Rhinolophus ferrumequinum: one gene and its partners. The protein of the gene in region 1 binds, or shares a complex with, the protein of each later gene. Links are inferred from orthologs where the notes say so. Each region holds a gene or a part of one and is shown in the gene's direction. Other genes may lie near its edges. The genes, in order: BNIP1, VAMP7, STX7 and STX5.

Region 1 (7,272 bases):
TGACTACTCAAGAACAGCCGAGTTGGGTATTTCGGTGTGCCAAGTTCAGGTGAACTAGGTTTGCCTTTCGTAACTGTCAACACAATGGTGTCGTTGAATTCTGGGGGGACGGGAGCGGGACTGATTACTGTGTCTTGCCCTTCGCCCTATTATTTTTCAGAACCAAATAACAGAAATGTGTATGTGTGTACTGTATCTGCCTTTGACCACATTTTTATGACACTGTACTCCACTGCCTGCTTTTTTTTACCTTCTTTCCCTAGGATTTGTCCTATAACTTAGAATTTGTGGTTAACAGTGATACGAGGGCTGACCGCACATAAGTCACAAGAGTGGAAGGGCAAGAATTCAAAGCATTTATTCATACAATGTGGCAACCTCTCTTGCATAGCTGTGTAGGATCCTGTTTGTAACGCTATCATAAATATTCTGTAGTTTTGTTTCCCCACCCCCCTCAACTGGAGCTATGAAACTTTTTATTGGATTCAGTCTTGTCTTTTGTCTAGAAAGAATTTTATCTTGTTGACGCATGAGCTGTTTAAAAATTATTCTATTAAATGTTGGTTAATAGTTGTGCAGTTTTTCTTTTCAGAAGAAAAGGCAATTCAGCTGTTGCCTTTGTTTTCTGTCATCTTCCAAGCCCTCAGCACTTCTAGTCAGATACAGATTCATCAGTGTATGCAACATCCTTTGTAATTTAAAATAAAAAAAGATGAAAAGAAAAGCTCTTGAATTGTTTGCCTCATGTTTTTGCCCTTCTGTCTCTTGCTCTTCTGTTGCTTACCAAGGTAACCATCAACTCCCTTCCAGAAAATCCACTGCAAATAAATTCCAAACTAAAGACAGCAATGAACTATGGATCACGCCCCCCCCCCCTTTTCTTGGTGTAGTGTACAAAGAGCTAACTTTTTTTTTTTTGACACTGTGGGCTGATTCCTCCAGTAATTTAGCAAAACTTATCTATAATGTAGAATTATTTATTGATAACACTTGCATTCTTCATAGTTTAGAGCATAGTTTAGTGTATAGTTATTCTCCTCTGATTCTTTGGACAAGTGATTTCTCTGAGGGAAATTAAATATTTTGTTTCTTATTCGTTCAAACATCTGTAGGTTTTTGTGTGTTTAATAATTCCAAGTAAGTCCTCAAGCTAGGCTGGACATACATAGAGCCTTCAGTTGGGAGACCACTGTAGCAGTGAGTTCCTTTAGCGAACAAACAGACTTGCTCCTTCTGCCAAGACTTGTGCCTAGGTACTGGGCTCTAAGGAGACTAGAGACTTCCAGTCTGCTGAGGGAGGTGGCCTGTGAACAGGACCACAGAACAACACAAGAGTTGTTACACATGCAAAGGGCTCTAGATATGTTACCGCCGAGTTATTTGCAAGGACACAGATACCACATCCAGTGGGGTATGTTAGAGAAGAATTGACAGGCTTGTGTTCCTTACATGCCTGGACCCATGAAGAGGAGCCCTTTTTGCTTCCCTTGAGTGACACAGAGGCCGTCAGGAAGCAAAGTGGACATAGCCTCCCATGGACTGGTTGTGCTTCAGGACTTGACCTCAAGACCACTCTTCACAGGAGCCTCTTTCATGGTCTAGGAACTTGAAGGAGCTGGGTGAGTCAGGTCTGTCTAGTCCTTAGACAACTAAACCTCCTGTGTCACCCAGTTAGATGGGTCATTCAGTTGTCCCTGCTCATCAACATTGATTTCAGAGCCAGGAAAGCTCCTTAGCCACAAAAACTTTAGCTGGGAAATCTTTTAATGTCCCAGCTGGAAGGTTCAGAACAGCAAGAAGGCGTGAGAAAGTCCTAGATGGTCAGGGTGGCATTCATGAAGCCCCTGCTCAGTGCTGTCTTGTCAGAGAACTCGGCTCCTGCTCTCAATTGCCCAGTGAAGTGGGTGGTCATCAACTAGACTCAGATAAGGGCACTCACCCCGGACCCAACATATAACAGCTCCAATTCAAACTCCGTCTGTTTGCTGCACTCGGAAACAATTCACACTCCTAAGGCCAAGTCACAGGCAATATTTGGATGGATGTCTGTGTGGAATGGAGATAATGGGCTTAGAATCTGACAACCAGAAAGGACTAAAGTCAAAACCTAACACATTTAGTAACCAAAAGCTAGTCTCAGGATCAGTGGGTAAAGGCGATGAGAACAAAACAGCGTTGGCAGTTTGGCAGTGGGTCACCAAATCGCAAACCTCTCTCTCAAAGATGGCCGCTAGCTGGCAGGCTTAGAATTGGGTCTTTTTGTTAGAATGGAGTATGTCGGAGAGTAGAGAAATGGGGAGATGTGTTTTCTTCTTAAATTGCTGAGAGAGGCAATTGGGAACTGTTGATTGCACAGGTATTTCCAGCAAGAAGCATGATGTGAAAGGGCCCCAGCTCACATGGGCAGATCTGTCACTTGCAGACTTTGGGCTTCTTCACTGTCTGGAATAGGGAGCTTTTGTTTGGGGATCCAGAACGTATGACCTGAAAAATCTCAACCTCAGTTTCTTTAAAAGGTTTTAATTTGAACATTGCCAGGAATGAACTGAACTGCATGAGGTCTAAAGAAAACTTGAAAATACTAAGGGCACAGAAAACTTGAACAAATAACAGATAGACCAAGTTCTTGAACAGGAACAGTCTAAGAAACTGTTCAAGAGAACAAAGCTGTCAGTTCTCCTAAGTTAAATAAAAAATGTAATGCCATCCCAGGAAGGACATACCAATAGGGTTAAAAACAAAACTAAGTTCACATGAGGAAAAGAATAGGTGGGAGATGCTGGGGAAAGAAAAGGGGGTGTTCAATCCCAACATAGTAAAATACATAAAACTATCATTGTGAGTGTCATTTTGGTGCATGAATGAATGGACAGGCTAATGACAGAAATAGATTCAAACATAAGAATTTAGTCAATGTGGCATCCTGAACCTGTGAGAAAAAGATTCTTCAGAAAATACTGTTGGAAAAACTGGGTAACCCTCTAGAAAAAATTAAGTTGGCTCTACACTTCACATCATAAGCCAACATACTTTTCAAAATGGGTAAAGATCTAATGTAAAATAAAAAAAATTAAAAATCATAAAAACAATTCCTGTGGGTGGGGGGAAAAGCCTTTTTAACTTGGATTTCAAATCCAGGAGTCATAAAGACTGGTAAATTCTATGTGGAACAAAAATAAAGCAAAAAATTTAAACCTTGAAGGCCAAAAAAACACCGTAAGCCAACTAACTCAACATTCTCTAGGCGAAGAAAAAAGCTCACGGCTAACGGCATAATCCTCCTAATACACAAAAAGCTCCTGGGAACTGATATGAAAAAGACCAACAACCCAATAGAGAAATGAGCCAACAATAAGTCAATACAAATAGTCCTCAACCTCATTCATGATAAGAAACATGCAAAATAAAAGATGGCGTTTTTCACTTAATCAAATTGGCAGAAATCCCAGTGTTTGTTAACACATCATGTTGGCAAGGCCGTGGGAAAGCAGGCATTTGTACCACATGCTAGTGGGAGTATAAACTGATAATGACCTCTGTGAAGAGCAGTTCGGTCGCATGTAGCAGAATTTTTAAATGCACATACCCTTGGACCTGGCAATTCCATTTGCGCCGGGCAAAGTTATTATTCTCCTTGCCTATTTCCTCGTGTGTAAAATGGGATAATTCTATCTCGTGGGGTTGTTATGCGAGTTAAGTTAGATGATACACATAAAGCACTTAGTACAAGTACCTGGTACAGAGGAAGTGTTCCCGAAGTGTAATAATAGCCGTCAAGGTGCATTGTGTTCTTACCACATGTCGCATTACCACACTGCGTGGTGCTTTTCATGTCTTATTTAATCCTCAGCCCACCCTGTGATTCCACCAGGTAGCCTCTGAGGAAACTGAGGCACAGAGACGTGAAGTGGGTACACTGTGAAATATGAAAATACAAGAAAGTTTAAATAAATATTTAAAAATTGTTAATGCCACCTTCCAGAGACATCCCAATCGATACTTTCCTTCCAATCTTTTTTTTTTCTCTCTATATGCAAAAAAAATCTGTAACCATTACAGTGGCAGATAGGCGGAAGATGGGGGAGAGGCCACCGCGAAAGCGTTCTTGATATTCCCTCTTCTCTTCCTCTCCGTTTTATTAGGACCACACCAAGAAACGAGGCCGATTCCGCCCTGCCCCCTCACCCGCCCCCGGTGTCAAGGACAAGTCCCCACGACTCGGCGCCGCCACTCTCGCTCGCCTCGGGCCGGTCTATAGGGGGCGCTGCCGCGAGACCGGGAGGCCGAAACGCGTTTAAACTTGGCCACCGCCGCTGCCTGTAGTCGGCGTCTCCAACATGGCGGCTTCCCAAGATGTCCACGTCCGGATCTGTAACCAAGAGATTGTCAAATTCGACTTGGAGGTGAAGGCGCTTATCCAGGTACTGATTCCCGGGACCCATGTCGGGCTCCAGCCGCCCTACACCCGAGCTCCGCTGGTCTCCAGGGAGCTCCGCCGTCTCACTCTCGCGCTTTCCCCACTTGGTCAGGACCCCAGCTGTGGAGGACTCAGGACGGGCCCCGAGCACTCATAGGTAGCTCTGTGGCCGGCTACCTCCTCTCTGTACCCTCTTCCCCTTGACCATGGGCCTTGAGCTTCCATCCGGGTGTCGTTGGCTCGCGCTCATCCGGGACACCCCCGTGTCCCCCTCCCCTGACCAGGCTTCCCCTTTGTGGCCCTGCTTGGTCCCTGCCATCCGCACCCCTGGCTGGCGCCTCGCCCAGGACCACCTCACAACCTACCTATCACCCTGCTTGGCCCCGCCCCACTTTTTGGTAGCGCTTTGGAGGCATTAGCCCTGCCCCCTGCTGGCCAGCTCCGCTGGGTCCGGTGCCCCGTGGCACTCAAGACCACTTGGCACGGATGAAATGAATGTAACCTGAACCGTAGTTGTGATTTTGTTAAATGAGGGAATCGAGTCAAGTGCCAACGCCTGGATCAGAAGGCAGGTAGTAGCAAAACTGGGACCTGCACGGGGAAAGTCGGCCTTCAGAAGGGACTTAGTCTCTACTCTGAGATAATTGAAGGTGCTTTGGCTCACGCCATTTAAAGGCAGAAAGCTGTACAATAAACCATGGCATAGGCAAGAGTTAGGAATGTAGAAATGGTTCCTTGAGGTTAGCAAAAGAAACCAAGAGTTTTAAACCCTGTTTTAAGCAAGTCGTTTCTATTTCCCACAAATGTTACTAAACATCAGGCGTAGGCTCAAAGTTTGCAGCTAGCTGAGGCAAAAAGTGAAGGAAAGGAGGGCTCCCCACGGAAACCAGATGTAAAATAAACTGAATTAGTGGTTTATCATATGGTGCCAGGAATTGTGATTTAATGAGTAAGCCAGAGAACAAATGAGGAAACTTGATATAAACATTTAAACTTCTTGAACTTCCTTCTCCCATGCATAAACTAAGAAACGGACCAATTCTAGACTCTGATGAGAAAGGTTAATGATAGCTAGATTCACTGCACTCTTACTGTGTTCCAGCTCCTCTGCCAAGCACCTTACATACATACATGGTCTATGAGTTAGGTAATGTGTTGATGAGGAAACGGGCCCAGACAACTCAAGTGACTTTTTCAAGGTTACATAGTTAGTAAATTGCTACAGCAAGAATCTGAATTCACATAGTCTGGCTGTAGGGCCTGCTCTAAAACCTGACTCCAGTAATTCTGAATGTTCAGAAACAAATTCTAAGTCTACCCTAGAATATGTGTATAAACACTGTGATTTATAGTAGGTGGTTTGTAGAATCAGATTGAAGTCAATCTCGTCCTACGATGCCAGGAATTTAGCACCCTGGTTTTCAAGTTGGAAAGCTCTAAAGTTATGGTATCACTTTTGGCTGTGCATTTTAATTGAACACACAAGCTGCGTTAAGCCTTTCCTACCGGTCGGGTGGCATTTTGTTAAACTTTAGGAACTAATAAGTCGAGACAGAGTTGTGTTTCTTTGTATCCTTTTATATTACCTACTCAAAATTAATTTAAAGAGGGATGAGAAAAATGTAAATGATAACGTTCTTGCTTGTGTCGCAGAGGTGAACAGCAGCGATCACGTCAGTAGGCCTACCTTAAGTGGTGGTCTAAGCTAACGCTCTCACTGTACAGACAGTGTCATTTCATTTCATTGCCTTGAGAAAGGCCCCTCACCTCTTCGATGTCTCCTAGGATATTCGAGATTGTTCAGGACCATTAAGTGCACTGACTGAATTGAACACTAAAGTGAAAGAGAAGTTTCAACAGTTACGACACAGAATCCAGGTGAGTGGCTGCGGAACTGAGATGCTGAGAGTCAGGGGACTTGGTCCTGGGACTCACCGCTGTCCAGGTTCTTGAGGAAACATTCAGACAGTGAGAGTAACTGTACTAAGCTGCTGTCCAGGTAAAAATGAGGAACTGGGAGTGCAGAGCACTGCCAGCTGTGCTAAGTGGATGGCAGGGACACCAGTCGTCTTTGCTTGGAATTTTTCAACTTGAAAACTCTGAGGTCACTTGAACTGCTTTTTCTCTCGCGCTGTCTCCAATCCATCCCCATTGTCTCCTGGGTTGTTGTTTTTTTCAGGCTGCCGCTTTGCCCAGCCCCTTCCTTTCTGTTTTCTGTAGTGACCAGTCACAGCATATGCACATATAACACTCTTGAATTCAACTGTGGTATAGGTGCCGTCTTAAAAAACCAACAGGGAGAGGTACCAGTTTGAATAGTACAGGTGTTGCTGCCTCTGTGCCTTCAGTGAGGGTAAAATGGGGGGCGTGGATCTGCCCATCTCTGGGTGAGTCTTGCGCACCTGGTCTGGCTGCATATGGTACTGAGGTTTAAAGACTTCTGCTTTTCATATCGCATGGCTCCAAATGCCAGCCAGCAACTGTTGTTCCTTAACAGAAGAAGACAGTCTGTTCCAAAGCTGGTAGAAGAACTGGCCGTTTAGACCCTGAGAAACAGTATGTCTATGTCCTGTGTGGTTTTCAAGCCCAGTTTTGAAAATACACTTTTTGTCATAGGAGTTCACTTTAGAATTTTAGCAGTGTCGCTGAACGTAGTGTCTTTTCTGCCTTCATCACTAGCACTGATTTAATCATTTTAATGTTTTTGAAAGGGTGTTGCTCTCACATGGTTTATACATATGTGTGTGTATGTGTGTAAATATTGGCACACAGCGAAGTCTCAGTTATTCTCCTTTTGTGTTCTCCAAACAAGTAACCAACCACCTTTATTTGTTACTTATGTATCTTTCCATAGT
Region 2 (7,354 bases), on another chromosome or scaffold:
GTTTCTTTTGCTGTGCAGAAGCTTTTAAGTTTGTTATAATCCCATTCATTTATTTTAGCTTTTACTTCCCTTGCCTTTGGAGTCAAATTCATAAAACGCTCTTTGAACCCAAGGTCTATAAGTAGACAGAAAAAGCAGAGAACCATATGATTTCACTGATATGTGGAATATAAACCAAAAACAACAAAAGAACAAGACACACAAATGAGAAACAAAAACTCTTAGACACAGACAATAGTTTCGTGGTTACCAGAAGTTAAGGGAGGACGGGGGTGGTATATGAGGGTAAGGGGGATCAAATAAATATATGGTGGTGGAAGGAGAACTGACTCTGGGTGGTGAACACACAATGGGATTTATAGATGATGTAATACAGAATTGTACACCTGAAATCTATGTAACTTTACTAACAATTGTCACCCCAATAAACTTTAATTTAAAAAAAAGGTCAAAGATTTTGTAGATATTGACAACATGTTACCTCCCTCTGCTGATTGGGAAATTCAAAGGAGAACAGACATTCTTGAGGTAGGTCTGTTTTGAGCATTGAATAACAGGAAGAAAATGTGCCCACATCCTAATATCCAGGATAAAGGACATAAACAGCACTCATGATCAGTGAAAAGCTGCAATATTGTGAATGATTTTGGTTCCAAAGAGACAGTCAGATACATGTATGTGTATGTGTATATATATATATATATATATATATATATATATATATATATATATATATATATGCCAAAAAATGTATACACATTTTAAGGAAAAAAACTGTATTAAAATAACAATACTCAATATATGCCGATAACAAAAGGTGAATACAAGTCGTGTTTGACGACTGCAAATACAAGAGGTGCTCAAAGTGGTTACCATCAGCGTCCAGACACTTCTGATTACAGCGAACTACTGCTTAAGCAACGTTGACCAAAATGTCCACTTGTATACATTTTGGCACCCCCCGGTGTGTGTGTGTGTGTGTGTGTGTGTGTGTGTGTGTGTGTGGTATTTTAGTCCAACAGACATTTCTGGAGCATCTAGCATATGCGAGCTGATTTGTAATCCAGGTTCCATCTCATCTTAGCTTTGTAATCTTTGTCAAGACCGGAAAAATTCTCATGTGTACAACTAGGGGATTAGATTATAATAGGCTATCTAAGCCATCAGTTCTATAATTCCAGGCTTGGTAGCTACAGGAACTGAAATGGAAATTGGAACCTTTACTCCATAAACTCAAACTATGTAAAATATGGATTGTAAAAATCAGTCACTTGATGAAATGGTACCGGAACTTCTGAATTTGAAAATTATAAAATTATAAAACCACCTATTTCAATGGTTCTGCATGTACTTTAGTGTACACATCCAGAAGCATTTTTTTTCTTGGAAACTACCCAACATATTTTGAAAACTGTACATATTAATTTATTGCTAGGATAGACAATGTATTGGCATGCTAAATGAAGCCAGATAAATTTTTTAAAACTCATACATCAGATCACATCGCACCTCTGCTTGAACCTCTCTAATTATTTCCCATTACACTTAGAACAAAATCCAAACATCTTCTCCTAGCCTTGCAAGACCCTCTGGTCACAAGAAGATAAGAGAGACCAGAACTCCAAGCAGAGAAAGCTGGTGCAAAGATCATAAGATATGGAGGAACTTGACATATCTGAGGAACACAAAGAAGGCCAGTGTGATCTTCTCTCCTACCACTCTCCCCTTATTTCTGCTACCATCAGTCGCTCTGGCTTTATTTCTGTTTCCTCTCATATTCTTGTGGCCGACTCCTCCTTGACATTCAGGTTTCAGCTTAAGTGTTACTGCCTTAGAGAGACCTTCTTTGACTTCCCAATATAATGGCTTAGGCTAGAGATTCAAATTTTGGAGCACAGATATTACTTTAGGAGAGAATATGGGGTGATTTAGGCTCCCAAACTCATTTCTCTTTCTAAGATACTATGCTGCCTCTCAAAGTATAGGTATTAAATAAAAATAAATTAATATGTAAAGCAAAGCTTTGCAGAGGGTGGATAAAATTTAAAAAAAAAGAAGCATATACTTTGCTCAAAAATGAAGAGATGCTATTTGAGACAGGTCTTGAAGAATAAATAAGATTTAGACAATGGACAGCATGTGCAAAGGCACTGAGGTGTGAAAGAGTATATTATTGAAGTGCTAACTCCATGTATGCAAGGACATTGTCTGTCTTGTTTACTATTATATCTCCAGTATCCAGTAGGCACTTAGTACACATTTCCTGAAGCAATTAATGCATGGATGAGTGAATACTACCATAGAGGAGCAGGCTTTAACACAGGGTGTGTTGGTGAGAGAAGCAGAATATGAAGCAGGGAAGGTAGAGAGGGATCAGTTCATGGAGAGCCTTGAATCTTAGAATGTATCCTCTACATAATGGGGAGCCAATGAAGATTTTAAGTAGGATTTTGAAGTGATCAGGTTTTGTTTTAGAGACAATATCAAGTGACAAAGGGGGGATGATGAAGGAGATACAATAGGTACAGAGACATTAATTTTGATTGCTAGTGCCCAGATCATTTTGTTCACGATTTCCTGAATGTACTTGATCTCTACCATGTTTCCCTGAAAATAAGATCGCGTCTTACATTAATTTTTGCTCCAAAAGATGCATTAGGGCTTATATTCAGGGGATGTCATCCTGAAAAATCATGCTAGGGCTTATTTTCCAGTTAGGTCTTATTTTCAGTGAAACACGGTATAGCCCACCCAGAACTGATAACAACTAAAGGATAGTATATCCTGTATGCATTAGAGTAGAACCCTGTGTATAGTGCCTCATAATCAGTGCCAGTCACCAAGATGGTATTACAGAAGGAGGAGCAGGTTATGGGAGAGAAGAGAGTAGAAATGTATTAGGCCAAGTGAGTACTACGTTAAGCTTTAGGTGTCTGAAAGAGATGCCCAGCTGTCGTGAGATATTTAGGTCTGGGTTATAGGAGTCCTGTCTGGCCTTGCAATCAGCATACTGATGACAACCAAAGCAATGGTAATGGTTAAGATCACCCAAGAAAAGTGTGAAGAGTAAGAAAAAAAAGAGAGTCTAGGGCAGAGTCCTATGAAACATAAATTTATTTCAAAGGAAAATGAGGATGTGTCACATAAGTGAGAGGGGAACCAGGAAGAGTGAAACATCTTAGAAAGAGCTAAGAGACTAGAGGCTCCTATGAAGTGAATGTTTGTGCTCCCCGCCCAAATGTATCTGAGCCCTCCTCAAGTGATGGTGTTAGGAGGTGGGTCCTTTGGGAGGTGATTAGGTCATGAGGGTGGAGCCTTCATGAATGGGATGAGTGCCCTTAAAAAAGATATGAAAGAGATGACGTCTTTCCATCTTGTGAGAATTCAGCAAGAATGCAGCAGTCTGTGAGCCAGGAAACAGGTCCTCACCAGAACCCGACCATACTGGCACCCTGGTCTGAAAGTTCCCAACATCCAGAACTGTGAAAAATAAATTTCTGTTGTTTAAGCCATCCAGACTATGGTATTTTGTTAAAGTGGCTCGAACTAAGAGAAGGTTTCAAGGAGGAGGAAACAATCAATGTAAAATTGACATAATTGAAGTATGGTAATAGTTTAAGAGTGCCTATTTATTTTAGCAACTATGTTGAGAATTTTGACTGGAAAGGAGAGGTGGGAGGAAGACCACAAGATTAAGTCTGTTGTGGTGAGTGTTTTTTTTTGGGGGGGCGTGTAGGGTTGAGAAAGGTAACTCTGGAATGTTTTAGAAGAGAGAAACTCTGACAATCTTTAAATGTTGACAATAAAGAGCGAGTAAGAAGTGTCGGGAGACAGAAGCGTTCATCAGTGGAGCTAGCCTCAGAGTTGGTAGGAGGGAATAGTGATGCAAAGCAGCTAGAGGAACTTAGATCAAAGTACTAGTAGTTGTTGTTGTTGCTACTGCTGCTGCAAAAGAATGAGAGAAAAGACTGTGAGGGGTCCAAGGAGGTTAGAAATTTTCGTGGCGGAAGTACAGGGAGTTCCTGTCAGACGAATTCTATTTTGTCTGTGAAGTAGGCGACGTAACCTGCTGAGACTAAGCGGGGAGATGGTGGGACAAGATCGACTCTTCATTTATCCCGCCGACTCAGTGCTGGCCAATTCTTTGTGGCCCTGTATCCTCTTGTTTTCCCGGAGGAACAGTGCTTGCCGTTGTTTACAAGAGTTGAACGAACGTGTGACAGCCTCCGCGTATGACAGTCGAAACTACCACTCCCAGAATGCAGTGCGGCTCCTGGGAAGTACGGTGGCTGGGAACGCTCAGGCCTCGCCCCTCCGCCCGCAGCCATTGGAGGAGTGCGCACATTCCCAGGAGGCCGCGCGCGGGCGGGGCTCTATACCCGGAAGCTGGCGGCGTCCGGTCCCTACCGTCTCTGGGAGCGGGCGGTCGGCGACGCCGCGCTGACCCGCGCCCCTCAGTCCCGAGCCCGCGCCCTCTGAGAGGGTGCCCGGACAGGTAAATGAAGCGGGGCGCGCTCAGCGGAAGGCAGGGAAATGACGGCGGTGGGAGAGCAGAGGTGTCGATCTGAACGTACTGGGGTGGGAGGAGGAGGCAGCGCAAGGGTGACGTACTTCTCTGGTGTCGACAGTTCGAAATGTCAGACAGGTCCAGTTTTGGCGAAGTGCGTTTTATGCCACTGAAATGGCCTCGACTTAAAGAGTGTCAGAATGCGTCACTTAAGTTGTTACAGAAGGGAAAAAAATGTTAACTTTCCCTCAGCTCGCGTTCTACAAGACCTCTCTATAGCATTTGAATCTCTTGACATCTCTTCAGCCTTCTGAGAACTCCTCGCTACGCCCTTGTTTCGATGACGTCACTTTCTACTTCATCTCCTCTTTCTGAGCTCCCACGTGGGTTTCTAGTCCTTTGCGTGCCCTTTCTCTACCACCCAGTGTTGACATTCTTCTACCTCAGTTGTGATAGGAACTTTTATCTCCGCCCAGATATGTTTTCTGCGTTAGACCTGTATGGCGTCATTGTTATTATTGGCCAACTCTGACCATGTAATAGATTCTTTGGGACATGCTTTACATCTCCCTTTCCCATAATCCCCACAATCAGTTATCAAATCCTTTTCTGTCTTATTCATTGCTCTCAACTATCTGTACCTCCATTGTCCCACCCTTGATCCCAGAGGATACTGTCATGTTTGGGACATTCTCTGCCTTTGAATGGCTGTGGTTGAGAGCATACCCACTTATATGTTTAATAGATATTTACTGAACAGGTAATATATGCTAGACATTCTTCTAAGCGCAAGGGATATAGCTGGAAACAAGACATAGGAGATCACTACTCTCAGTAGCTTACATGTTTATGTGTGGGAGCAAACAGGAGTAATCAAGATCGTGTAATGTGGTGGTGGTGGTGGTGAATGTAAAATAACACAGGTGGTTGACTTGACAGAGTAGGCTCCTATCCTGAAAAAGTCAGAGGAATTGGGTTGGGGCTCAGAGCATCACCCAAAAAGAATATTTCTAATACCAACAAGAATAGTCTTGATCTGTGACCAGACTTAAGGCTTTTCATAAATACCCGTCTTTTCTTCTGTCATATCAATGTTTGTTCTTCATTCTTCTGTCTCCCCCAGCGTTATTACATCAGAATTGGTGGTTTATCTGTCGTTGGCTTAGTTCCTCCTAAGACCCAGACAGAAGAGTTGGGGGTTGGATTATTCTCAGCTCAACTGTTTTATCTTACTTAGGGAGATAGTTGGTAATCAAAATATTTTTCTTGCCAGGTCCTACTGAATATAAAGTTATCTGTCATTTATAGTATATATAAAACCAAAACATACTGTTCATTCATTTATTCAACAAATATTTGAGGGAATGGTATATGCCAGGCACTGCTGGGCACTGGGAACCTAGTGAGGATAAAATAGACACTTTGAACTCTCTTCCAAGGAGAAATAGTTGTAACAGTACATTGAGAAAATTCCTAATACATAGGCTCTCACCTGCATTCTTTTTTCTTCATTCAAGGTGAGATTATCACAGAACTTTAAGAAATCTCCCGAACAATTGTGTACATTGTTAGATTATTCACTCATTAAGCTTTATTGCATTTATTTGTTTGTGTCTGTCTTCCCCATTGTATATAACTCCCTTGAATGTAGAGGTCTTTTTTCACTGCTCTTCATGTCTCCAGTGTCTACTATAATGACTGCCACATAGTAAACCCTCAGAACATGTGTGTTGAACTGAAAGAGAAAAACTACTTGATCCAATCCAAATCACTTAATTTGTACGAGGCCTTCTTTATATAAGGCCATTAGATTTATCCCTAAACCTTGTCATTCACCAAATGTGGACCATTCCATTTCATCAGGCTAGTTTATTTACCTTCTCTAGCTTGTTCTCATGTCTGTGTCTTCTCTTGTTCCTTAGCTCCCTCCTAAAACGAGTTCCCATCTCTTTCCTGAGCACCTTGCGTGCCAGGCCCCCATTTCATTCAGTGGGCCAATTTAATAGTATGTCCCATGATAACAAGGGTGGGAAAAATTTAGTATTCATTGTGTTCCTATGAAACATTCTGCTAATCAACTCTTGCAAGGATTAGCATAATACATCCCCTTGCAATAATATAAGTGATGATACAGGATGCTTGCTTTTTATTTTGCATTGACTATTGCCATGTGCTATGCAATGAGTTGATTCTTCCACTTTTTTCTGTTTGAACAGTTGCACAACCTTTATTCATATAGCACATTATGGTATCATTTGGTTTCCTCTTGGTACAAACACATCTTTGAGTATCATTTTCTCCTTAGCCTGAGATAATGTATGGTTCATGTTATTCTGCCTCACTGTCATTTTCAGAATAGCAGATAAACTTCTCAGTTCTTAAAAGTTTTGTTCCATGCAGATATATTTCAATTGTAAATTATTACTGCAAAAGATAAATTTTATCTTTATAACCGATTTAAAAACAACAGGAATACAAGAGTGCTTAACTCATGACTGTCATTATGATTTTAGAATGTGCCAACGTAAGAGCAGCCAGACATGCTTCTAAGACATTAAAAATTAAGCATTGTCATTTTAGGGAATTTCTTGCTGCCTATGCCTTCCTAATGCAAATGAACACTGAATTGTGTGCCATCTCTCATTTATAAGATATACGTGTGGATGATCTAGAATATTCATATACATTTTTTTTAATTTTCCCAAAATAAAACTATAGAATTTAAACATTTCTCAGAACACGGACTTGAGTGTGAGAAACACTGACTTGGCCTTTTCCCCCCAATCAGTTCCCTGAAACTCTCCAACCTCCACTGGAAGATGCCTCCACCCAAGAGGTATTTGCATC
Region 3 (7,909 bases), on another chromosome or scaffold:
TTCTCTTAAGGGTTCTGCTTTCTTTGCCCTTTTCAGTCTAAGATAAGAAAACTCATTCAGGTAAAAGGAATATGACATAAGTTATAAACTTGGATCTACTCAAAGAAATGAAGATTCAGAAATGAAACATATGAAGGTAAAATAAATTTTTCTCTCATTTTTAAATTGCTCTAAAAGATGGACAACATCTCACTAAAGAAAGCATATGGGTTTCAAATAAGCATATAAAAAGATGTTCAACATCATTATGGAAATGAAATTAAAACCTCAATGAGATGCCACTACATGCCTATTAGCATGGATAAAATTAAAAAAGAAAATCTAATAATATCAAATGGTGAAAAGGATTTAAAACAACAGCAATCCCCCATTCATTGCTGTTAGGGATGAAAAATGATACAGCTAAATTGGAAACAATTTGGCAGTCTTTTAAAATTAAACATGTACAACCCAATAATCCCACTTCTAGATATTTACCCAAATGAATTTAAAACTTATAATTTTATCAAACCCTGTATGCAAATATTTATAGAAGCTTTATTCATAATTTTCAAAAATGGAAACAATCAATAGGTGAATGTATAGACAGTTTTACATCCAAATAATAGAATTACTTACTCAGCCATAAAAAGAAGAAACTGTTAATGTATATAACAATGTGGATTTGTCTTAAGTGCATGCTGCAAATGAAAGAAGTCAGGTCCAAAAGGCTACATATTGTATGATTCAATTTATATGACATTCTGGAAAAGGCAAAACTGTAGGGACAGAAAACCAAAGGTTGGGGAAGGAGTTGACTAAAGGTACTACAAAAGGGGATTTTAGGCAGATGACACTGTTCTTGTTCTGTATGGTACTGGGGTGATGAATAGATGACTCCATGCATTTATCAAAATTCCATAGAATTGTATACCATAAAGAGGGAACTTGACTCAAACTGAAAAAAAAAAAAATTTAACCAGGTGTGCTTGGTGAACACCAGACAGAATGCAGACAATATGATGATTGAACTTGACTGTAATACAAACATGACTTCACTGATGGAAGTGGGGGAAAAAAGCTGATCTTGGTAATTTGAAAAACATTGTAAGGCTAAAGACAAAAGAATTGTTCATAAACACTGTACTCAAATTTTTCTCTCACCGGAGCGTGAGTTAGCAACTCTGAAACTACATTGTACAATAAGTAATTGAATTAGATAATGGGAGCTAGGTTCCTCACTGTTAGAGAGAGGAAGTGAACAATAATGAAGCCGGGAATGTTAGAATGAACCCTGTGAACTGGATTACAGTTGGAAATATCTATATGAACTCATATATATACACTTATATATATATATATGTATATATGTGTGTATGTATATATATATATACAGATAAAATTATAGATACATGTGTATACATGAGTTAATATACTTACATTTATTTCTTAGCTCTGTGCACTGAGAAGGCATAGAAGCAATCGACACCCCAGTAGCAATGAGAAAGCTAGAGTGCAGATCTTTGAATACAAATACCATTTTCCAGTCAAAGAAACAATGGCTTCATTGTAAAATGACTGATTTTAGAGCCAGAGCAGGGAAAATACAAGATAAGCCTGGAGCATCTTGTTGTACCAACAAGTAAGGAAATGCTGGGGAAGAGAAGGGGAGGGAGGTGCTCTCAAAAGGACACAGGAGCCAACTTAAAAAAATTCCCAGTGATGGAGAGGCAACTTATTACAACCTACAGAATAAAATAAATATCCATAAATCTATACTGATATAAATAAATGATTAAAATATAAATGAATTTGGGAGAAAAGACAAATATTCCCTACAGAAGAACTGAAGGAAGTAGAAAGTCACCTTTAAAACACAACAGTAATAACTGCTGTAGGCAAAATATACTAATGAATGCTAGTCAGTGGGCAAAACTTTAAGGAAATGTAGGTTATGTTCACGGCCTCCAAGTATCTCTCTCCCAATATTTATTTACTGTGGTAGTTTAAATATATGTCCATAAATTTTTTTACATTTTTTCATTCCAGAGGTGGAACTCAGTTCTCTTGATTGAATAGAACTCAGTTCTCTTCTAATGAATATAGTATGGAAATGGGAAAATGGTAACTTCACATTGGAGAAAACTCACAGACATCGTATTAACCAGGTGATCAAGGTTAACAGCAGCAGTCATAGATCATGCAAGTTTCATGTACCACATGAAATGATATGATGAGAACACTTTACCTCCATGGTATTCTTTCCAAAAGTCTATGACCCCGTCTAATCACGTGAAAACATTAGGCAAACCTAATTTGAGACCATTCTACAAAATTCCTGACTAGTAGTCTTTAAAAAGTGTCCAGGTCATGAGAAAAAAGGGAAGACAGAAAACTGTCATAGATTGTAGGAAACCAAGAAAGCAAGCTGTGTAAATACAACATGATATCCTAAATTGGATCCTGGAACAGAAAAATCAACATTAATGGAGAACTAGTGAAATCCAAACCAAGTCATAGTTTAGTTGATATTACTTTACCAAGGTTCATTTTTTTTTACTTTTAACGAATGCGCCATGATTATGGAAGATGTTAACATTAGAAGAATCTCTGTAAGGTGTGTATAAGAACTCTGTGCTATCTTTGCAACTTTTCTGTAAGTCTATAATTATTGTAAAATAAAGAGTTTACTTTAAAATGAGGAGGGAGAGAGAACATATTCTAGTTGAAGGAGACTGCATAAGCAAAGCACAGAAATAAGATAACCTCTGGTGTGTGGTTGGACAGCTGGTGGGAGGAAGGGAGGAGCAGAAAGAGATGAAGAAGTTCTTTAAACTTGCATATTCCAAAGCATAAATTTTCATGCAGGGGAAGGCAGGATCCAGATCATGTAGGTCCTTATACTCGTATATAAGGTGACCATATAACATCGCTTCCGAAATGGGACACTTTTGATAATGAAAGTGGGTGCTCTCTGCAGACAAGAGGCTGGGACAAGCATAGGCTGGGACTGTCCTAGAAAAACTGGACGCATGATCACCTTATTTATATGCTATAATAAGGGGCTTGGACTTGATTTTGAAAGCAATGTTTTCCACAATGTATATTCTGCAGGAACTTATAGCCATTAAATATAAAAACATTTCATGGTCAAATACATTTAGAAAATACCAGGTTAAAGAAAGTTCTTCTTTTTTTACTGAACAACTTCTCAGAGCCTATAATTTACAAACATGCACTCTGAATCTTCAAGAATGTATTATACCATGGGTTTCCAGACCTTTCTCCATACACACTCTTCCCTAATTCCTTTCCTCAACCTATACAACCCAGTAAGCACCCCTACTTTTTTTAAGGAGTGTTTTTTTTGTTTTGTTTTGTTTTTGTTTTTTTAAGGAGTACATTTGGGGGCATGTTGCAACCATGGGGATGGCATGAAGCCTGGAGTGATGTTTTCAGTTTTGTGCTTCAAATACTCAGTGGTGACTCAGAAGATAATAAAGTCGAGTACAACCTGAGGTAGAGATGCCATTGAGGAGGCTATTGAAGTGGATCCAGACACCGTGAGGGATAGAGAGTAGAGGGCACATATCAACAATATTTAGGAGGTGAGAAATGAGAAATGAACGTACCGACCATGGGTTAAATGTCCATTAAGATTTCTGTGGGATGCCTATTTATTACCTCTGTGTTTAAAAATCAGAGCAACATCTGTTCTGTGCTTGACATATCACTAGGCACCTGTGTGGTCTTAGAAAGAAAACAAGCAGATTGCAGAGGGAGCTCGGAGGTGCTCCAAAATAATCATAACAAAACAACTGTTGTTTATTAGGTATTACTTTAGCTGACTTTTAATATAGCACAGATTTAAGAAAGCATCTGTGTTTTCCCATTGTGTTTTAAATCAAAAACAAGCTTTCAGAAGTCAATCTGTACCTCTCATTTATCAATAAATTCATCCTGCTTGGCCAGCATGCCCACCTCTTTCTATTGGTCCCTCTTTACAGAGGCAGAGTGTAAGTTGCTGCTTATTATCACACTTGCAGTGTAGTTTTCTTCAATAAAGATGAGAAATAGAAAATATCTCTTGCTCCCATTTCTCTGTTAAAGGTGGAAAAATGAAAGATAAACTGAAAGATTCTTGTGTTTCTTATCCCTGGCTGACCTGACTTATGTACGATATGATTATGTATGTGTAATACCAAACAACCTAAAATTGGCTCAGGTGGTACCAATTCAAAATACTGTTGTTTTTTTTCCCACCTAAGTGCGTCTGGACTTTTGATGTTCTGATGATCTTTTCAGAAAATAGTGTTGCCTTAATATAAGCAAAGGCCAAGCCAATCTATCTTCTACTTAATTTGGTGAGGTATTTCTTTCACCTGAAGAAACTGATGCTTTTTATCTAACAATGACATTATGTTTGAATATTATTATAACACTCTGTTCTTTTCAAACATATGAAAACTGTGTCCTGTCCTTCAAGGATGCTTGGAATGATTTGTACATGCTGTGAAAACTTGTCTACTAAATGAGCACATAAAGGTGACTCTTCACTTATTTTCCATTGTTCCTGCTAGGACTGTGCATTTGTGTGTCCCCCCCCCCCCCTTGTTTTTTTACTGGAGCTGTGAATATGGTCTACTGCAGAGTAAAGGGTTAGGAAACAAGACAGGCATGAGCTGATGGGGCGGGCTGAAGACATGCATCAAGAGAGGCCGGCATCACCCAATAAAGAAGACAGCTGCCCTCCATTCCCTCCTCGTTTTTTGCACGCAAGCTAAGGCGTTCACCATCTGTATGTCAGGCCTCAAAAAACACCTCCCTTGCAATTTTGCTGATACCCCCATTCCTTAGCTTAGAACGAGGGGGCGGGAGAGGACCGCGGTCACTCATCCCGCGGCCAATTGGAGGGAAGCGAGCCCCGCCTCCTTCCTGGGCTGTACTGCGGGCATGCGCAGTGGGCGGCCTACCTCCAGCACCCTTCAGTTTAGAATCGTATCTGGGGGCTCTGGGGCCTTTGGGTGCCCGTGGCCGGAGCAGGAGGAGGAAGCCGAGGAAGTTGGGGTAAGCGGAACCTGGGGGAGGGAGGGTGACCGGCCGGGAGTCCCGGAGGCGCAGTGTCCCAGCGGCTGCCGCGCCTCCCTGTTTGTACGGGATGTCAGGTGGCCGCCGCCCTGCTCTTTGCTGCAGGCGCTCGGGAGGCGGAGGGCGGCTGCTCCCCAGCTCTGGGAACCCCCGCCGCTCCCCGCGCCCCCCGGCTCGGCGCGGGTGCGCGGCGGGGTCCGGCGGCGCGGCCTGGAGGCCCGGCCCGTCGGGCCAGCCCCGCGCCGGCAGCCTGGCCGCCTCCCCGGCCGCCCCTCGGGCGCGCGGTGCCGCGGTCACTCAGGCGCACCTGCGGGCTGCGCGCCCCCGTGCGGAGCCCGCCCGGGAGCCGACTCCGGCTGCTGCTCAGGAATCCAGGAATCCAGCTTCGGCCTCGAGCAGAAGACGAGTTGACCTCTTCCTCTTTTTAACTCTCGGATTTAGAAAACACATTTTAAAGTTCTCTTCCCGGATATAAAGGAACTAAAAACATATGGCTACAGTAAAGGAACCGTATACGTTTATTCAGGGACTCATTGTTGATTTTCTATTTGGCTTGATAAAGCTAACTTGGTCTTCTCAGTACATGTCATTAATTGCTTTATATAAAGATCTTTAAAAATACGTAAAATATTTCGAGATACCTCCCCCTCTTGTTTTTCAGGTTACTTTCTTTCAAATCAAACTTGGAGAAAAAAATAACAGTGCTTTTCTGGTCAAATGCTATATATATATATATATATTTTTTTTTTTTTTTCTCAAGTGCCTTGTATTTGCTTGGCTCTTACTTACATTCATTTTTGTTTCATTCCGGTAAATGTATATATTAACTTGCACAGAATCTGAAAGAAAAGGAAATGATTATGAAGTCCGGTTCTGTTTAGTAATGCTGGGAGTGCAGGTTTCTTCTGAGGGGTGGCCTGAACCTCACTCGGCATAAACTGATAGCACGGTTACACTGTGCATTGTGATGTGAACAGACCTCTGCTTGACAGGCCACTTTGAGGAGTTTGTCTCAAACTACTTGTGACAAGTTCAGAATTATGCTCTAGTTTCAAAGTTTCTGTAGAAGTTGATATGATACCGTGTTAACTCATTAACGTCTGCATCATTTTTCTTTAGATATTTCACTTGGGCTGCTCCCCATAACAAAGTCAAATGTAGTTTTGGTTAGGGTTACAAACGTTAGCCAAGTGCCAGTGGTTGAAAAATGTGTAAAACCTGAAGTAAGTCTGAGTAAAGTTTGCCGTGATTCTATTTAATTTGGAAACTTAGTGTATGGAAGGATGAAAAATAATCCTTTGTATTGTGAACTAAAGCCAAATAATATACTGTTTTAACAGATGGAAGAGCTGAGATAAAGAACGTGGTTAATCTAGTTGATCTGGAGAATGCTCAGGTCCATAGAGTAATCACCCTTCCATTCATGGAACATCTGCCATGCACCTGACACTAAATTCCAAGGTTCTCTCTCTCATGTATATTCCAGAGGTGGGGATAGATAATAAGCAATATACTAATTAGATCATTTTAGATGGTGATTAGCACTATGATACAGTAAGTTAGAGAGATCAACAGATTGTGCCGGGGTGGTGACATCTCACTTCAGATGGGAGTGGTCACCGAAGACTTCCCTAGCATGTGATGAGACCTTGCTGGGAAAAAATGAGCCAGTCACATGGAGGTCATGGGAAGAGTTTTCTAGGGGTAGGAAATGGCACCAAGGAAGCAATTAGCCTGGGACATTCAGGATCTGAAAGAAGGTGCTGGAATTCAGTGTCTTAGAAATGGTGATATTTACCCTCAAACTGGTTGTGTGTTTTTAGGAAATAGGTACCTGTATTCAGTATTCTACAAATATTTATTAAGCACCTATTATATAGCCAGGTACTGAGAATACAGCAGTCAACAAAATAGACTGCCTGCCCCTCATTAATTGGTTTATAGAAAGACCTTTAAAAACACATAAAATATTTCAAGATGCCTCTTCTTCTTGTTTTTTAGATTATTACTTTCTTTAAATTCAGATATAAAGAAAAAAAACATTGCTTTTTCCGTCAAATGCTATATTTTGACAGAAATATATTTTCACACTTTGGGACATGAGGTGGAGGGAAGGCCAGTTCTTTACGCTGGTCCTCATGCTTAAGAAAGTGAAACTGACTTTTCTGTTGCTTTGTGTATAGATGTATTTGTGCATATCGATGGAGGGCCCATCTAAGAGAGTACATAAATAAGAAAAGGAACATTTCCTCATTCACTGTGTTTGTGTTGGCTGTGTGCCAGTTTTTCTAGAGCTCTAGTTGATAGAAGGAAAGGAAAAAGAAAAATGTCATTGAGCCAGCAGAAAATGGTCTCTATCCATACAGTAGAATATTATTTGGCAATAAAAGGAATGAAGTATTGATTCATGATGCAATATGGATGAAATTTGAAAACATGCTAAGAGAAAGAAGCCAGTGTACAAAAGAACATGTATTACATAATTCCATTCAAATGAAATGTGCAGAATAGGCAAACCTATGAAGACATAAAGTAGATTAGTGGTTGCCTACAGCTCGGAAGGTTGGCAAGAAAGGGGAAGTGACTGCTGATGTGTATGGGCTTTATTTTTAGGGTTCTAAATGTGATGCGATAGTTGCACAACTTTGTGAATATTTTCAAACTCTATTGGACTGTACACTTTAAATTGGTGGGTCGCATGATATGTGAATTATATTTCACTAAAGCTCTAAAAAAAGAGAAAAGATGCAGGATTTAGAAATCCAATTGGTGGTTTGTAGGATGCTTGGGAGAGTGTTGGTCTCATTGAATCCCCAGGTCCAGCCTTGTTCTGTGTGAGCCC
Region 4 (7,355 bases), on another chromosome or scaffold:
ATAATTTTTTGAGTGACCCTGAGCAAGTCATTTAATAGTTAAGAGGATGTTTTTAAACGGGGCTAACAACCACCAACAAGGTGATGAAGGTCCCAAAGTAAAGGATAGGAAAGTGGTGTCTTGGGTTAGGTTACCGGCCCAGCTTTCTTCCAAAGATGGAGAGAGGAGGTTGTGAACAGGCTGTGTGTGTTTGGTAGTAATAATTCTGACAGGCGAGGTCTAGGAGGCTCTGTGTGGGTGAGATGTTTGAAGTGAACCTTGAAGGATTGGTAGAATTTGGGCAGGTGGAGAAAGGGGTAAGGGCATTCTGGGAAGAGGCTACTGCCTTGGCAGAGGCCAAGGATTGATGTCTCACTACAGGGTACCTTTCAGGGGCGATCAGTAGTATTTGGGGGTTGAAGCTGAGGAAGCGTTTTAATACAAGATAGGCAGGGTAGGTTGGGTTTCATTGTAAAGGGCTTTAAATGCCAGGCTGAGAGATTTGTACATTTGTAGGTGGTGGGGGTTACTGGTTTTTGAGAGGACAGTGCTGTGGTCAGAGCTGTGAGCCTGTAAGAGTGTGGAGGATAAATTGGAGAGGAAGCAGTTCAGAGACTGTTGCCATAATCCAGGGAAGTGATACAGACCCTGAACCAAGGTGGGAGGGTGAGCAAATGTGAGAAGGACCATAGGTTCGGGCTGTACAGCTCCTGGGGAGAGACTTGCTTGGGCTTTGTGGGAGGGGTACTTTGAGGGAGAGATCGACATTTAGCGTCTGGAACCCAGAACATGGAACTCAAAAGAAGCTGGTGTCTGACTTTGGCCAAACCCTAAATCCAAACCAGTCCCATTTCAGTCCTTTCAGAGTTATTGATTCTGACTCCCTGGTGTCTGACTCAAGAGTCAGAAAGACCTGTGGGGCCGGGTGACCCCAGATGGAGCTGTGGAATACAAAGGCATTCTCTGCTTTGGAGTATCACAGACTTGATTTCCAGCTCTGGTTCTGACATTCACAGCTCAGTGGGCAAATCTTTTAATTGCTCAGAGCTTGTTTCCTCACTTATAAAACTGGTAAAGCCTCCCTCTGTTGAGGAAATTAAACAACGGGAAGCTGGAAGCTGCCAAGCCCTGTCCAGACCAGAGTTGCCTAGAGGCTTCCTTAGGAACAGGCCTGTAGGAATTTAGTTTAGTTAATTTGGGGGTGGGTTGAAGGGAGCCTAGAGGATACTTTCACTTTTTTTTTTTTTAACTAAGTCTATCTTCCCTCTGCAGCACCCTCATCACATGTGTGGATTCTGGGATTCTTCGAGTCTGGGGTGACAATGACAAGGAGACATCCTCCGGCCCAGTGAGGCTCCCCTGCCCTGATCCCTGTGGTTGGGGAAGGAGGGGGCCAGGGTGGGAGCTGAATGAAAGCTTTGGGGGAAGAGGATTAAGGACTCTGGAACTGACTCTCATCCCTCATCTCATCTCCCATTCTTTTCAGCTCCTGGAACTGAGGGTGGGCCCTGGGGTGTGTAGGATGCGCCAAGACCCAGTGCACCCCCACGTAGTTGCCACGGGTGGGAAAGAGAATGCTTTGAAGGTGTGGGACCTGCAGGGGTCTGAGGAGCCTGTGTTCAGAGCCAAGAATGTGAGTGATGGGTGGGGAGGGGCTGGGTCTGAGGTCCAGGGAACTGAGGCCATTATGAGTCAGAGACCATGGCTTTAGGGGTGATGGAGGGCCGAAGGAAGGGACACATTGAGCACCCCACAACCCTGCCCCCCATCTACCCACCCCACCAGGTACGGAATGACTGGCTTGACCTGCGAGTTCCCATCTGGGACCAGGACATACAGTTCCTCCCTGAGTCACAGAAGCTTGTCACCTGTACAGGGTACCATCAGGTGAGAGACCACCCCATCCCTACCTCCTGGCTTAACCTCCCAACCTGGAGGATCGCTTCCCTCATCCCTGTCCATTTATGCTCCTAACGGCTCTCCCCCAACCCCCTAACACTCAGAAGAGGGATATATTTCAAATGAGAAAGTTTCTCTAAGAGTGGGTTATAAACAGCAAAGCAGTATATGAAGGGGGTGTTGAAGACGTGGGGAAGCCATAGGGGGGTATGTGGAGTGAGGGTACCCTGTGATACCGCAGTCTTCCTCCAGGTCCGTGTCTATGATCCAGCCTCCCCCCAGCGCCGGCCGGTTCTAGAGGCCACCTATGGAGAGTACCCACTGACAGCCATGACTCTCACTCCTGGGGGCAAGTGAGTGTTTAGAGGGCAAAGAGTGGGGTCAGGAAGGACTCTTGGAGGCTCCTGCTGACCCCACTTTCCTCTGACCTCCTCCTCAGTTCAGTGATTGTGGGGAACACTCATGGGCAGCTGGCAGAAATTGACCTTCGGCAAGGTAGTGGACTGGGGAGCCTTGGGGGAGGGGAAGGGTAGGATGCCCTCTAAGGCACGACAGTAGAGCGGTTGAGCCCTCATTCAGGTATTAGGTTATCTGAGTTCAAATCCTGGTTTCAAAAGCTGTACGACCTTGTACAAATTACTTTGACTCGCTGTGCCTTAGTTCCTTCACCTGTGAAATGGAGATATTAATGGTAATTTCTACTTCAGCGTTATGTTAAGGATTAAATATTGAAATGTAAAGTGATTTGAATAGTAAACAATAAATGGTTGTTGGCTGGTCAGCTGGCACTGATGCTTACCCCCTTCTCCAGGGCGCCTACTGGGCTGTCTGAAGGGGCTAGCGGGCAGTGTCCGAGGGTTGCAATGCCACCCTTCAAAGCCCCTCCTAGCCTCCTGTGGTTTGGACAGAATCTTGAGGGTACACAGGATCCGGAATCCACGGGGCCTGGAGCATAAGGTGAGAGCCTGCTGCCAAATGTGCCCCCATTCATGTTTCTATTTCATGCTTGGTTCCTTAAGGTACCTCATCTTTTGCAGGTTTATCTCAAATCTCAACTGAACTGCCTTCTCCTGTCAGGCAGGGATAACTGGGAGGTGAGCAGTTGTGTCTGGGAATGTGGGAGCCAAGGACGTAGATGTGAGGATTTATTTCCCTGTGGGAAGAAAAAAGGAAGCAGCTGGAACAGAGACCTGGGACTATCCATCTACCTGTCGCATTACTTAATTTTTGTGAGGAATGTTAATAGTTACAGTCCTGACAGGGTTACTGCCAAGGGTGACAGGAACATGGGTGGGAATGAGTTCCCAGAGCAGGAAATAAAAGTGATTGTTTCCCAGCTAGAGCCTCCTTCCCAGTGGGTCTATGACTGTGTCCTTGACACTGAAGCTCTTCTCCACTCACCAGGATGAGCCCCAAGAGCCTCAAGATCCCAGTAAGGTGCCCCTAGAAGACACAGAGGCAGATGAACTTTGGGCCTCTTTGGAGGCTGCTGCCAAACGGAAGCTCCCTGATTTGGAACGGACCCCAGGAGCTCTCCAAACCAGAAAGAGAAACAAGAAGCGGCCTGGCTCCACCAGCCCCTGAAGAGCCTGTGTTCACTTTGTAAATAAACAGCTCGACACCCACCATGACTCGGAGCCTTTTGTGATGGTAGAAATGAAAGAGGGGTGGCTGCTCTCTAAGCTGAGGCGATGGGATATCTGACGTCACAAAAGCCTGGTGAGAGCCAGGTGGGCTGGAGTGGGTGGTACCCAGTGCCGGGCTTGCACAGGCCATGGGCTGCTGCCAAGACAAGGACTTTCAAACCTCCAAGGGTCACGCCAAGGAGGCCCAATCAGAGGAAGTGGAAGAGGAAGGTGGGATGAGACACACCAGGGGACCCAGGGGGCTGGAGAGGGGGAGGGCCCAGGAGGTTGGACGGGGAGGGTAGAGCTGAGCTGAGCAGCCTTGTCATTCCCGCAGACACCGAAGGGATTGATGTGGACTCGTCGGACCACCAGAATCCCAAGCGTAACAAAAGCCTGTTGATCACCGTGCTGTGGAGGCGGCTATCCATGTTCAGCCGTCGGGGCTCCACGCGGTCAAACAGGAGGCAATCAATCCAGAATCAAAAGCATGGGTGTATGTTACAGAACAACGCGGAGAAGGTCCTGGAGGAGCCGGAGAAGGGGTGACCCCAGCCCTGCTCTCAGTTCACCCCATTCAGAGAATAAAGTTTCTAACGTGTACTTGCCGGAGCGCTTATGCTTCGGCTGCCTGCTCTGGGCGAACAAGGCACGGGAACCACCGGGGCTGCGGTCTCTTTAAGGCTCCTCCGCTGAGGCTGGCCCAGCCCCCTGGGTCCAGGCTCTGGTTCCTAGGGAGCGGAGTCAGGGGAGAGGCCTAGCCAATGGGAGGGCGAGAGCCTCCCATTGCGTTTGGGTGGGGGGCGTGTCCCTTGGGTTGCCGAGTTCAAAAAGGCGTGGCACCGCCTCCTCGTCACCGGGGGTGGGGTTACGTGTGGGTGACGTGGCGGCTTCTAGTCTTTGGTCGGGTTTCCGCGGCTTCGGCGCCCGGGGAGGAGGTGGTGACGACCCGGGAGATTGTGGTAGCGGCGGCAGCGGCAGGCGGCAGAGAGGAGGTAGGACTCGCTCTAAGAGGGGTCTGGCGGCCGTGTCAGCCCCCGGTAGTGGCTTTCCGGAGGTGGCGATGGGCGGGGGGAAGGGAACTAGGGGCGCGCGGACAAGTCCTGCCGGCCCGGCTCCGGGTGAGCGAGTACCGCGCCGTCCAATCAGGAAAGCTCCTGTTGAGAAAGACGTCGGCATTACCTAATCAATAGTTGCCGTCTTCCAGAAGGCGGGGCTTGAGCGGAGGTGGGACTTCCTGTTTCAAATAAACACCCAGAGATTTCCCCCCTCCGCCCACCGAAGTGTGTACCCCTCCGGAGGTCGGTCTTCGTTTCTCCCTGAGGAGTCGAAGAAACCCGTGAATACGAGAGGGCCCAGTTAGGGCCTACGGCAGATGCACAGACTGGGCTGGAGCCTTGGGTCCACGGGACCTGCCTTTAGCCCTGTCTCTGCTTCAGGGACCCCGGCCCACGTTCTGGCTGCCTGAGCCAAGGTGGAAGAAGAGGCTGAGGAGGGGAACGGCTTAGGCCGGAGAGGAAGCGGGGGGTCCTGCCCATTGAGGGCCGGCCCCAGGATCTGAGGGTGGCTTTGGGACCCAAGGATTTGCTGGTTGGGGGGAATTTGTGGGGAAGGAGACTGCCTGGAGAATGACACTCTCCCCTCCACAACAGTCCGAGGTTATGCGTCTCAATGATCCCGCGGAAACGCTACGGGTCTAAGAACACGGATCAGGGTGTCTACCTGGGTCTCTCAAAGACACAGGTCCTGTCCCCTGCAACTGCTGGCAGTAGCAGCAGCGACATCGCCCCTCTGCCCCCCCCAGTGGCCCTGGTCCCTCCCCCTCCCGACACCATGTCCTGCCGGGATCGGACCCAGGAGTTCCTGTCTGCCTGCAAGTCCCTGCAGAGCCGTCAGGTAAGGACCAGAAGTGGGAAAGGCAGGAATGAGCTTTACTCAAATTTGGGAGAGGCTGTGCTCCAGCACTGTTGATTGATGTAATTTTTTTTTTTTTTTGATTGGAGTAATTTTTGTCGGAAACTCTTGGAGAACTGATCAGGCTTGCAGGCTTGGAGGGGGCAATAGAGAATCTACTAAGAGGTGGGCAACCTATCTAGAGGCAAGCATCCAGACTTTTTTTGTGAGGAATCCCCTGGAAGGTAGGGTTGCTATTCTGGAAGGAATATCTCAGGATGAGAGGTGGCTGCAATATATTTCGTTTGGATAAGGAGCAGGTTCTCAAAAGAGCCTTTAACCCAGAGACAAGCACTTTGAGTTCTAGTTCTGGTGGAGTTCTACCACTATTTGCTCTGTGACCACGGGGAAGTTAGTTGGACCTCAGTTTTTATATATGTAATTTTTATCAAACTCACTTTGAAGTGCTTTTCTTAAAAATTGCTTTCCCTTGTCTCAATCCGGACTTTATGAATCTAAGTGGGATCTGTGTGACTGTAATTTTATTAAATATTTTTACTGCTCAGCTCTTGTTAGCAACTGTTCTTCTGTATGAGCTTTCCAATTATCCTCTTCAATTCCCTGATTGGAGTACAGTGGTAGAGTGGTGATAGGAACTATTATTTATTTGGTGTTCTCAATGTTCCAGCTATTTGGCTAAAATACTTTGCAACCGTCTTCTTGTTTAATCTTAGCAACGATAATATGAGGTGTGTGGATTGTCTTCATTTTATAGAAGAGGAAACAGATTCAGAATGGTTTCAGTAACTTGCCCCCAACCCCCCAGTTAGTAAGTGGTGGAGTCAAGATTTGAACCCAGGTCTTCCTGTCTTCAACTATGGACTCTAAACTACTGCTACTGATAAAATTAGACCGTCTGGTGGAGGATGCCACTGGTACTAGACAGAGAGTTTAGTGGACACCTGAAAACAGTGAAAGCTGGAAATGGGGAGGGGGAATTAAAGTTTCACCTGTTGACATTGCTTTTCAGAATGGAATACAGACAAACAAACCAGCTCTGCGTGCTGTCCGGCAGCGCAGTGAATTCACACTCATGGCCAAGTGAGTTGGGAGAAGTTATGTGGTGTGCTGATACAGTGTCGGAGGAGAAGTGGGCTTGCCTTTGGTGGCCTGGCAGTGAGGGCAGGATTGGTTGTGCTGGAGCTAGTGTGGAAATAGACCCTTTCCCACAGTGTTCTCACTCTTGCGTCTTTACAGGCGCATTGGGAAAGACCTCAGCAACACATTTGCCAAGCTGGAGAAGCTGACAATCTGTGAGTGTTCTTGCGGTGTTTCAGAGATGGGGCAGTGAACCAAAGAGGGCTGAGGAATTGACTCCCTGAGCCTTGTCTTTGACCTCACCCTTCTTGCCTTCTTGTTTGTCTCTGCAGTGGCAAAGCGCAAGTCCCTCTTTGATGATAAAGCAGTGGAAATTGAGGAGCTAACGTATATCATCAAACAGGTGAGCTACTAGCTAGCAGGAGAGCCCAGCACTCCTGTCGGGTCACATCCATCATTTTCCATTGCCATGGAGACCCAGAGCAAGTTCCTAGAGCCAGCCCAAACATCCTGCTCATCCATTGAGTCAATAGAAACTTACTGATCATCTGCTGTATACAAAGCGCTGTGATGAGCACTTGCCTTACAAACATGAGGCAAGATTTCTGCCTTCAGGGGCTTATTGTCTAGAAGAGGTAACCAGCCCCATAAACTCAGACTTACAGTGAATAGGAGGAAAGTGTGCTGAAAAGATCATACAAAAAGATAAATGAGATAGTCTAGGGACACTGGGAAATATTTCATAGAGGAGGTCAAATCTGAGCTGGTTTCAAGGTTTGTGTAGAGGCCGTGGAAGAACATTCCAGACAGAGGAAACAGTGTTTGCAGAGGCATGGCGTGTACAAGGGAAAGCTCAAGTCT

Evidence for each region.
Region 2: BNIP1 (region 1) and VAMP7 share a complex: the UniProt entries of both Homo sapiens proteins name them as parts of the SNARE complex. The link is inferred for Rhinolophus ferrumequinum from reciprocal best matches to the Homo sapiens genes BNIP1 and VAMP7.
Region 3: BNIP1 (region 1) and STX7 share a complex: the UniProt entries of both Homo sapiens proteins name them as parts of the SNARE complex. The link is inferred for Rhinolophus ferrumequinum from reciprocal best matches to the Homo sapiens genes BNIP1 and STX7.
Region 4: BNIP1 (region 1) and STX5 share a complex: the UniProt entries of both Homo sapiens proteins name them as parts of the SNARE complex. The link is inferred for Rhinolophus ferrumequinum from reciprocal best matches to the Homo sapiens genes BNIP1 and STX5.

What each region holds. Positions count from the first base shown.
Region 1 is NC_046307.1:38,787,653-38,794,924, forward strand, and holds the start of BNIP1 (vesicle transport protein SEC20), read left to right. Parts: upstream 1-4,272; 5' UTR 4,273-4,337; coding exon 4,338-4,421; intron 4,422-6,202; coding exon 6,203-6,295; intron 6,296-7,272. UniProt on the Homo sapiens protein: As part of a SNARE complex may be involved in endoplasmic reticulum membranes fusion and be required for the maintenance of endoplasmic reticulum organization. Also plays a role in apoptosis.
Region 2 is NC_046284.1:5,140,829-5,148,182, reverse strand, and holds the start of VAMP7 (vesicle-associated membrane protein 7), read left to right. Parts: upstream 1-4,340; 5' UTR 4,341-4,495; intron 4,496-7,354. UniProt on the Homo sapiens protein: Involved in the targeting and/or fusion of transport vesicles to their target membrane during transport of proteins from the early endosome to the lysosome. Required for heterotypic fusion of late endosomes with lysosomes and homotypic lysosomal fusion.
Region 3 is NC_046286.1:79,645,166-79,653,074, reverse strand, and holds the start of STX7 (syntaxin-7), read left to right. Parts: upstream 1-4,905; 5' UTR 4,906-5,046; intron 5,047-7,909. UniProt on the Homo sapiens protein: May be involved in protein trafficking from the plasma membrane to the early endosome (EE) as well as in homotypic fusion of endocytic organelles. Mediates the endocytic trafficking from early endosomes to late endosomes and lysosomes.
Region 4 is NC_046294.1:8,020,021-8,027,375, forward strand, and holds the start of STX5 (syntaxin-5), read left to right. Parts: upstream 1-4,343; 5' UTR 4,344-4,498; intron 4,499-4,709; exon of another isoform or gene 4,710-5,155; 5' UTR 5,156-5,174; coding exon 5,175-5,399; intron 5,400-6,426; coding exon 6,427-6,497; intron 6,498-6,653; coding exon 6,654-6,709; intron 6,710-6,826; coding exon 6,827-6,897; intron 6,898-7,355. Other genes in the region: WDR74 (WD repeat-containing protein 74), read left to right, coding at 1,252-1,327, 1,466-1,612, 1,765-1,866, 2,131-2,231, 2,318-2,373, 2,690-2,835, 2,916-2,972, 3,283-3,462; TEX54 (testis-expressed protein 54), read left to right, coding at 3,653-3,734, 3,841-4,052. UniProt on the Homo sapiens protein: Mediates endoplasmic reticulum to Golgi transport.